3 linked regions of the Cricetulus griseus genome follow. The protein of the gene in region 2 interacts with the protein of the main gene of each other region in a pairwise test. Links are inferred from orthologs where the notes say so. Each region holds a gene or a part of one and is shown on either strand. Other genes may lie near its edges.

Region 1 (3,655 bases), on a different chromosome or scaffold from region 2:
GCTGTTGGGAACTGAACCCAGGTCTTCTACAAGAGGAAAAAGTACTCTTAACCTCTAAGCCTCCAGCCTACTTTCCTAAACATTGAGGTTAGATTTGGGGCTAATAATAATTAAAGCTCAGATTTATTTATTTATTTGTTTATTTATTCACTCATTCATTCATGTGTGAGTGTGCATGTGTGGAAGGAAAATAGTAAATTTATTATTTATTTTACTTTATTTGAGATAGGGTTTCACTACATAACTCTGGCTATCCTGGAATTCACTATGTAGACTAGGCTGGCCTCCAACTCAGAGATCTGCTTGCCCCTGCCTCCAGAGTATTGGTATTAAAGGTGTTTACAATCACATCAGGCTCTTTGGTGTTTTCTTAATTTTTATTTATTTATATTTTCTTTTGGTTTTTCGAGACAGGCTTTCTCTGTGGCTTTGTAGGCTGTCCTGGAACTAGCTCTTGTAGACCAGACTGGTCTTGAACTCACAGAGATCCATCTGCCTCTGCCTCCCAAGTGCTGGGAATAAAGGCATGTGCCACCACCACCAGGCTTTTTTATTTTTTAATGCAATTGCAGTAATAAAGGACAAATTGCAGTGCATGTCTAGAAGTTATGGCCAGTACTGCAGTCCACATCCATCAGCTGGAATCAGTTTTGCTCCCTGTGAGACACTGGTTGTGTCTAGACACATCTTTGATTATCTCAGCCAGGGAGTGCTACTGGCATCAATAGGGAAAGAGACCAGGTGTGCTCATGAACAACTAGAACACCTAAGGCAGACCCTGTCCTCACTGAAGAGAATGACCCAGCCCACATGTTCTTTAAGTGCCACTGACCTGCAAATACTGCTGTAGAAAGAAGACATATAAGCTGAGTAGTGGTGGTGCACACCTTTAATCCCAGTACTTGGGAGGCAGAGGCAGGCAGATCTCTTGATTTTGGTCTACAAAGTAAGTTCCAGGACAGCCAAGGCTACACAAGGAAACCCTAAAGTAAAAATAAAGTAAAAAGATGTGTGTACCTGGGGATTGTTGCTTGAGACTTCTAAGCTTTCATTCTCCCTGGCAAGAGTCTTCATTCTAGTTGAATAATCTTCAGTCTGTGGGGTAGAAATGGAAATGCCAATTTGCTTATTGATAGAAGAAATTACACAAAATACATTACTGTAACAGTCACTCTGTTCTTTTTTTCCAATCTAGTGGAAGCTGTTGCTGCCCTGGGGAACAAAGTCGTGGAAAGCCTGAGAGCACAGGATCCCTCAGAAGGTTTGAGTTTTCTCTGAATATCTATGCTGTGGCAATAGCAGCTGGGCTTATAAACAGTCAGGTCCATGTAAGTCAGAGTTTAGCAGGAGTCTCAGGTATTTATTGTTTATTTTATTTTATTATGAAGGATGGGTTATGAGACAGAGACTTAACTCTATAGCCCAGGCTGGCCTCGAACTACATTCCTCCTGCCTCAGCCTCCCAAGTGCTAGGACCATAGATAGGTATGCAGAGATTTCTGTTTTAAAACTCCATAATTCAGAAATAACCCTTAGCTTGAATTTGAACACAGTGCCTCATACATGATAGGTGATCAGTCTTGTCTCTTCCCGTTGTTCTGTCCCTCCCCTACCTTTTGAGATGGGGTATTATGTCAGTTGGTCTTGACTCCTGATGATCTCCTTGCTGCCACCTTCCAGTTACTGGTATAGGCTCTTGATTGATTGATTGATTGATTGATTGATTTTTGGGTGCATGCTGTAATCCCAGTACTTGGGAGCACAAATAGAGTATTTGGAGTTTGCTATATATACATACATATACATCTTGTCCTCAAAAAAATTAAATAACCCACTGCCAGAAAACCCACCTGTTAAACCAGGTGTGGCACACCCTATAACCCCATATTTGAGAAGCTAGGGCAGGGGGATTGGTAATTTAAGGCAAGCCTGAACTATATACACACTAACATGTTTATAGTTGGTAGGGTACACATCTAACAAGTGTGAAGTTCTGAGATCAGTACTCAGCATTACATACACTATATTTGGTGGCACATGCTTATACATGCTTGTTAGACTAGTGAGGTAGAGGAAGGAGAATCATCAGTTGAAAGTCGTCCTTGGCTATACAGTAGTTGGAAGGCAGCCTGAGCCAAATGAGATCTTGTCTCAAAACCAAAACAGGTCAGGAAGATGGCATCAGGCAGAGCCTGATGACCTGAGTTCATTCCTGGGGCCTAATGGTGAAAGTAAAGAACTGATTGATTCCTAAAGGGTTATCCTTTGGCCTCTACAGGTGTGTGAATGTGCCCACTCACACATGCTCTAAATAAATATAATAAAAGCAAAACAGAACAAATATGTGTTACATATTTTGATTATTTTGTTCTTTTAGTTTTGACCATGCTGACTAATGAAACTGGCTTTGAAATTAGTTCTTCTGATGCTACGGTGAAAATTCTCATTACAACGGTGCCACCCAATCTCCGAAAACTGGATCCGGAACTGCATTGTAAGTCTTTTCTCTCCATTTGTGGCAGAGAGACAGCCAAAGCTTTGAAGATCTCTGGAAATTTTAGTATTTACTGTGAAAGAATTTTACTTTCTCCCTAATTTGTGAATAGTTTTACAGCTTCCTAGTGAGATTTTCAAAGCCTTAAAAAGGATTGCAGAGGAAAAATCTTGAAGAAAAAGATAAAAAGTAAAATCTTGTATAAATACTTGTGAAGAGAAATAGATTATTGGGAAAGATTTGGCTGGGGAGAAACAATAGTGTTTAGACAAGTGGCTTGCCACACTCGGACTGGTATTGGGATTGAATTTATTGCACACTTAGTAGGAAAGTTTCTTAGCCTTTTGTACTTGTCTTCAGTGGACATCAAAGTGTTGCAGAGTGCCTTAGCGGCCATCCGGCATGCGCGTTGGTTTGAAGAAAACGCTTCTCAGTCCACGTGAGTCTCCTTGGTTATTTGATTAAGATAACCCTTCCTGAGGAGTGTAGTGGTTCTGGCCTATGATCTAGCCATCAAGAATAACAGTACACACCCCTACTTCCTCTGACAGAAGTTTCAGAAGTGATGTCTGGGTTTTGATTTTCACCTAACAAGATTGAAGGAAGACGTACTGATTATTTTAGTGTATGTATGTGTGCATGTGCAAATGTGTGCATAGGCACATACATGGGTCATAGTCATGTGAGTCTCAGGGATTGAACTCAGGTTTGTCAGATTTAAGAACAAATGCCTTTCTCTGCTGAGCCAGCTGGTGGGCACTGTATATGTAGTTCCCTAAATAGCATAGTCATCTTTGACTAAGTGTGGAAATACCAGTATGGTGTTATTACCTCTAACCTATGGGTCTCTTACAGGGTTAAAGTTCTCATCAGATTGCTGAAGGACTTGAGGATTCGTTTTCCTGGCTTTGAGCCTCTCACACCCTGGATCCTTGACCTTCTTGTAAGTTAAAAAAAAAAAAAAATGCATCTGAGGATATAGCTGGGTAGAGTTGTTTAGTATGTGCAATTCCCAATTGCCAGTACTGCAAAAAAGGAACAAGGGTGCAATTGGAGTCACTCTTGGTCTATATATTTACTTAGTTTAATTTTCTTTTCCCTCTTTTTTTTTTTTTTTTTTGAGGCAGGGTTTCTGTGTAGCAGGGTTTCTTTGTGTAACAG
Region 2 (3,655 bases):
TCTCATGGTGTTTGTTATCACATTACTCTTAGTCATCTGCCTGGCTCTGCTTTATAACCCTTTTAGCGTGCTCTCTGATGCTACTCCTGGGACAGCAACAGGAAAGCAAACTCTATCTGTTCAACGAGAAACAGAGCCACAGCAAGAAGCGTCTGAACTTAAAGAGCAGCACTCAGCAGTAGGACGCTTGGATGGCATGCCTTGGGCTCAATCCCCAGCACTGCCAGAACCAAACCAAACCAAACCAAAAACCAGTATGAAGAATGGCAAAAAGTACCAAAGTCAATATATTGATGATAATAAACTATGTATTATTTCACTTAAAATCTTTATAGAAATTAGTTATGTAAGGCAAAGCTGGAAGCTGGATATGAGAGGCCTTTTTGCTTCAGCCAGCTTACTTCTACCCACCTTTTGGAATCTCAGACACCTTTTGGCATGCTACCGAGACACTATTGCAGGAAATAAGGTCACAGTTCTCAGTGCTGGAAAAAGGAATTAATAAGGACACATCAATAACCACAGTCTCCTAAAATTGTCTGCCATGAGGGATAATATATAACTTGACTGTTAGGGTCAATTTTTCCTCCCTGAGTCAAGGAAGCCAATTAACTGCCATCCCACACTGAGGCACTGATACCTCTGAGATGGAGAGATAAGCACTTCCAGGAGCTGAGCCATGCCATCCACAACGTCCAAAGTAGCATTCCGCACCAGCTTTCTCAGGGTGATCCCTGTAGCCAAACCCAAACAGTAAGTAGCCTGGTCGTTTCTCATGTCACAACTTGTTTTCTGGATTCTTAAGTGTTACAGAATATGAGGTAACAGATACATACATACTTTACAGCACATACCAGTGCAAGACTCAAGTCTTAAATTCTTTTTTGGGGGGCAGCAGGGGTTGGTTTGTTTGTTTTTCGAGGCAGGGTTTCTCTGTGTAGCTTTGGAGTCTGTCCTGGAACTAGATCTTGTAGACCAGGCTGGCCTCGAACTCACAGAGATCCACCAGCCTCTGCCTCCCAAGTGCTGGGATTAAAGGCGTGCGCCATCAATGCCCGGCTCCTCCTGCCATTCTTTAGAGTTCTTCTCCAACAGTTTTATTCTTTCCATGTGTGTTCATTCATTAAGGACACTGGTCCTTTGATAATTGTGGACAAAACACTGTAAGTTTAAAGCATTTGTAAGTAACCCAGATGAACTATTACATGTTTTCATTTATTTTCTCATCATAACTTCAATAAAGGTAGAAATCTACAGGCTAGGCTAGTGGGCACTTAACTTGTGAAGAGTCTACAAACAGAGTATGATGCAATGCAGGGTGGAGGAGGACAGGGATGGCCTTGGCATGGGTATGGAGCTGGGATTTAGCAAGCATGTATAAGAAAGAAAAGTGAATTAGGGGCTGAGAAGACAGCCTATTTGATAAAGCGTCAGTCACACAAACATGACAGCTTGAGTTTAATTCCCAGAACCTACATGAGAAAGGCAGACAAAATGGAGTGTTCCTATAATGCCAGTGCTGGTGAAGCAGAGATAGGAGGCTTCCTGGGCAATCAGTGAACTCCAAGGAAGACTCTCTCAAAACACAAGGCACTGATTCTACACGTACTCACATGCACATCTGTGAGCACCTGAATACACACATGCACCTATGTGTGTGCACACACACACACACACACAGACACAAATAATGGAATGTTTTTTATAAAGACATGCTTCAGCACTTAAGAGTACTGGCTGCTCTTCCAGAGGACCCAGGATCAATTCCCAAATCCACATGGCAGATCACATTGTCTGTAATTCCAGTTCCAGGGGAAGCGATACCCTCTTCTGACCTCAGCAGGGACCAGACATGCATGTGGTGCATAGACACACATGCAGGCTAAACACCCATACCCATCACATAAACAATAACTTTTAAAAATAACCAGTGGAGATGGCTCAGCAGGCAAAAGAACTTGCTGCACAAGTGTGATGATCTGAGTTTAACACCAGGAACCCACAATGGAATGAGAGACCCTTTTACATACCCACATCACCCACACCCACACCTTTTAAAGAATCAGGTAAAGTAGTAACAATAGGAAACCACAGGTGCACAGCATCTGTACTTTAGCATAACAGACTGCTATGAGATCACTCACATTATAAAATGACCTTTGAGTATATTAGGGGAAAAAGTCACATGCTCAAAACTGAAGACAATAGACATGTATAATATGTTTATAAATAAATATATAATAATACATTGACGATAAGCATATATAATAATGTGATGGGGAATGTCCTTCTGTATGCTGTGAATATATGTTTCTCTTATTGGTTAGTGAATAAAGCTGTTTTGGCGAATGGACAGGCAGCAAGTATAGTCAAGGCTACCAGACTAGGAGAATTCTGGAGAGAAGAAAGCAGAGGGTGGCACGGGAGATGCCATGTAGCCATCAGGAAGGTAAGTTGCCCAGGCATTCTCTGGTAAGCCAAAACTACATGGAGATAGATTAATAGAAATGGGTTAGTAATTAAGAGAGAGATAACCAATAAGAAGCCTGAGCCATCAGCCAAACAGTTTATAATTAATGTAAGTCTCTGTGTGTTTATTTGGTACTAAACAACTGCAGTACTGGGTGGGACAGAAACTTCCGTCCACAATGTTTACGATGGGCTTTGGTGGCGCATGCCTTTAGTCCCAGCACTCGGAAGCAGAGGAAGGTGGATCTCTGTGAGTTCCAGACCAGCCTGGTCTACAAGAGCTAGTTCTAGGACAGCCTCCAAAGCCACAGAGAAACCCTGTCTCGAAAAACAAACAAACTAGCAAACAAACAAAAAGATAAATAATGTTTACATATAGCAAAGATCTAGCCTATAAAATGCAACACTACTGTGTATACACAGTGACTTACCCTGATTTTTAGGAAGTGAATAATATACTTCAATAATTTCCTTGATGCCAACATGAATTTGCTCACAGATCCTCTGGGTTTCCTATGAGGTGATGGACAAATTCAGAATGAACAGAGCAAATGTTCAATATCAATGCTGTCAGCCTATTTACTGAAGAAGAGATCAAATACCTATAAAACATGAACAAATATTTTCTGAAAGCCTATGGAGTACTCATCCCACACTAGAAAGAAATTAGGCAGATACCAGACAATTCAAAAAAGCATTACAAAATGAAGGAAAACCTCATTTCTGCTATTTAATATCTTAAGCAATCATGTTGTGCCATGAGATAATCACTGCACTTAGACCAGTAGGAAGCAAATTATAGCCCAGAGGCTCCCCCTAGGCTCACTGGTGGGTTTTATATATGGAGTGTTACTAGGACACAGTCATGCTCATTAATTTACAAGCATCTAACAGTTGTACTTGTATTACAAGGGAAGAGTTAAGCAGTTGTCCTACAAAGCCTAAAATATTCAGCACCTGGTCTTTTGTTGAATACAGCCCAACTACTGAATCAGGCAATTACTACGTCTTTGCTTGCTGTCATACAATTTATCTTTTTTTCTTACTGCCAAATTGCTCAAGACTGTGGTTCTTCTTAATGCTGTGACCCTTTAATACAGTTTCTTATGTTGTGGTAGCCCCAACCATAAAAATATTTTCATTGCTAATGTTATGAATTATAATGTAAATATTTGATATGCTAGAT
Region 3 (2,745 bases), on a different chromosome or scaffold from region 2:
CTCTCAAAAAACCCAATATGTAATATGCTGGGTTCTGTATTCTAATTTGTCTGTGCTAAAAATTGATGTTCTCTTGACAAATTCTATCACTTTATTTTTTTGCTGTTGTTTTTTGCCTGGTTTTTGGAGTAGGGGTTCTTAACAATGAACCCATGACCTTGCACATAAGACTAAACACACATTTTTCCACTCCTAAGAACAGCTGTTTTCAGGAACCTCCTGGGTCACTTCTAACCACGAGCTGGCCAAGCTACAGAGTGATCATTTCCTTAGGCAAGCAAAGACTCCGGGCCTTTAATTTGGTATTTCCTGGGGCTGGAGTATCAACAGGAAGTCTTGTGGATAAAAGCTCTGCCAAAACATTCATTCCGAGAAAAGGACTGGTAAAGTGATAAATCTGCCCAGCTTATACAACATCCTGCAGCCTCCACGTGAGGCTCCTGCGGCAGACCTCACGCCTACAATCCTATTCCGATTCTTTCTTAGGGTTAGAAACCTCGGCAAGGGTATCATCAGACAAAAATTTGCACTTAACAAGGTGGTCGGGACATTTATTGGCATAAGGAAAAGGTTTCTTTAAAGGAGGGAGTGAACACTTAACATTCCCGTAGCCCCGTTTCATATATAAAAACAAAACAACAAAAACACCTGAACCCAAATCTGTAGCAGTCAATCCTAGCTCAAGATGATAAAGCCAAGGAGAAAGGGGGTAACGTCCTTGCTTCTACACCACAAAGTGACGACCTAACAATCGCCAGTGCAGTACAAAACTGCTTCCCACTGACTCGCAAAAAAAAAAAAAAAAAAGACAGTCATTTAATTATCAGTCCAAATTCTAATAAAAAGTCCCAGAACTCAGGGGCTATTCTCCCCATGCCGGGCTCAGTGACCTGTAGTTGTGAAGCCTCGGGGAGAAGGCTCGCTAGGCATCCAGATCAAAGTCATCGCGCTCCTCGTTGTACTCCAGCACGTGCCGCTTGATCTTGGACGAGTCCACCCAAGTGACAAAGTCCTCCATGCTGCGAGTGACGAGAAAGGCGGGATCGGTGACCACGTCTGGGCCCACGCGGACGTGACCCTGCTCCACAAAGGCCACGGCAGCCTGAAGGTGCTGAGCCATGCGTAGCTTGAGGAGCAAAGTAGGCAGGCGGCGGCGGCAGAAGGAGGAGGCTGAGACCGAGTCGCAGAGCTCTAGTGAGCCGCGCGTGGGTACCAGGCCGAGCGCGTACAGCTTGTCCAACAGCGCCGCCGAGGCGCGCACACGGAAGGGGTCGCGTTCCGGCAGGTCGCGCAGGCGCCGCGCCAGTTCCCGCACCGCTCGGCTCAGCTGGTTATAGCGCGTGTACTCCTCCCGCCGCTGGAGCCCGTACCGCCGCAGCACGCGCAGCTCGTGAAGGTTGTGGTCGGTGACCTCCCAGTTTAGGAAGTCCACCTGCTTCAGCAGCTTCTGCTCGTGGAACTTAAGCTTCCGCACCATGATGGAGACTGCCAGAGAAAGCGGAGAGCACGCTGAGAAAGCAGCACAACTTCCGCCTCCGCGCCGGAAGACCCCGCCGCCCAGACCCCTGGGCCAATAGAAAGAAAGCTACGACCACGCCCCCGTATTTCATTGGTCAGACTTAAGAGCTTCCTGTTTGGAGAGGCCAGCGGGAGGTCGGAAGGGCGTGTCCTGCGAAGACAGCGTGAGCGTCTTAACCGCCTGGGGGGAAGTCGTATAGCCTAGTGCTTCAGAAATTTTGTTAGATTTCTTGTCTTTGGTGACCCTGAAGAGAGTTCCCCTCAAGAGCTGGAGACGTCAGTTTCGGGAGAGAGGAGTAACGGCTAAAAGATGTAGTTAGAACCGTGCGAATTTCTTCGCTCCAGTGGTTTCTAGAGCTGGCGAATAGTCCCACCCCGGTCAGCAACAGGTCTGTCACTGGACTGGGGAAAGGGATTCTCCTTGCCAAGCAGTACTGAGCAGCACTAAACCTATGGCATGCCGGTTTCCTGGCCGATTACTAGACTCACGTAATCAGAGTGGGAAACACCCTGACATCTGGCTTTTACTTTTTTGAGACATCGTGTCTTCCCTAGGTAGCCACGAATTCGCCGTAATCCAACCCGCCTGTCTCCCAAAATGCTGAGTTTACGACCATGAGCCACTACGGTCGTCTTTTTTATTTTGTTTGTTTGTTTGTTTTTCGAGACAGGGTTTCTCTGTGTAGCTTTGGAGCCTATCCTGGCACTCGCTCTGGAGACCAGGCTGGCCTCGAACTCACAGAGATCCGCCTACCTCTGCCTTCCGAGTGCTGGGATAAAGACCGACGCCCGGCACGGTCGTCTTTTTTATTATTTTATTTATTTTTTATTTTATTGAGACAGGGTCTCTCTATGTGGACCTGGCTGTCCTGGTACTCTATGTAGACCAGGCTGGCTGTCCTCGAACCCAGAGCTCCACCTACCTCTACCTCTCGAATGCTGGAATTAAAGGCTTGTTTCTCTACTCCCAGCTCTTATTCTAGAGACAATTCTATGTTACTCAGGTCAGTCTGGAGAGTATGTTTCGGCAGTCCTCAGTGGTTCACAATATGCACCCAATATGAGGAACTCATTAAGTACAATTCAACCCATCGTCTGAAAGAGCTGAAAATATCTTGTCTGGCAAACTCTTGCCCAGAACCCCCGCCCACCCAAGCTCAAGAATATCTTCCAGCACAGTTCCTGTCTGAAATCACAGAAGCAGAACTGAGGTCAGAAAATGTCTAC

The links.
Region 1: the proteins of Ccndbp1 (region 2) and Ilf2 interact in a two-hybrid assay, tested with the Homo sapiens proteins (2 studies listed by BioGRID and IntAct). The two-hybrid records come from large-scale screens. The link is inferred for Cricetulus griseus from reciprocal best matches to the Homo sapiens genes CCNDBP1 and ILF2.
Region 3: the proteins of Ccndbp1 (region 2) and Imp3 interact in binary tests that used the Homo sapiens proteins (3 or more experiments, as listed by UniProt). The two-hybrid records come from large-scale screens. The link is inferred for Cricetulus griseus from reciprocal best matches to the Homo sapiens genes CCNDBP1 and IMP3.

What each region holds. Positions count from the first base shown.
Region 1 is NW_023276806.1:64,067,544-64,071,198, reverse strand, and holds part of Ilf2 (interleukin enhancer-binding factor 2), read left to right. Parts: intron 1-1,195; coding exon 1,196-1,261; intron 1,262-2,377; coding exon 2,378-2,494; intron 2,495-2,854; coding exon 2,855-2,933; intron 2,934-3,349; coding exon 3,350-3,437; intron 3,438-3,655. UniProt on the Homo sapiens protein: Chromatin-interacting protein that forms a stable heterodimer with interleukin enhancer-binding factor 3/ILF3 and plays a role in several biological processes including transcription, innate immunity or cell growth.
Region 2 is NC_048599.1:57,426,118-57,429,772, forward strand, and holds part of Ccndbp1 (cyclin-D1-binding protein 1), read right to left. Parts: intron 2,983-3,655; coding exon 2,901-2,982; intron 735-2,900; coding exon 641-734; intron 486-640; coding exon 412-485; intron 1-411. UniProt on the Homo sapiens protein: May negatively regulate cell cycle progression. May act at least in part via inhibition of the cyclin-D1/CDK4 complex, thereby preventing phosphorylation of RB1 and blocking E2F-dependent transcription.
Region 3 is NC_048597.1:168,459,906-168,462,650, reverse strand, and holds Imp3 (U3 small nucleolar ribonucleoprotein protein IMP3), read right to left. Parts: upstream 1,530-2,745; 5' UTR 1,478-1,529; coding exon 923-1,477; 3' UTR 524-922; downstream 1-523. UniProt on the Homo sapiens protein: Component of the 60-80S U3 small nucleolar ribonucleoprotein (U3 snoRNP). Required for the early cleavages during pre-18S ribosomal RNA processing. Part of the small subunit (SSU) processome, first precursor of the small eukaryotic ribosomal subunit.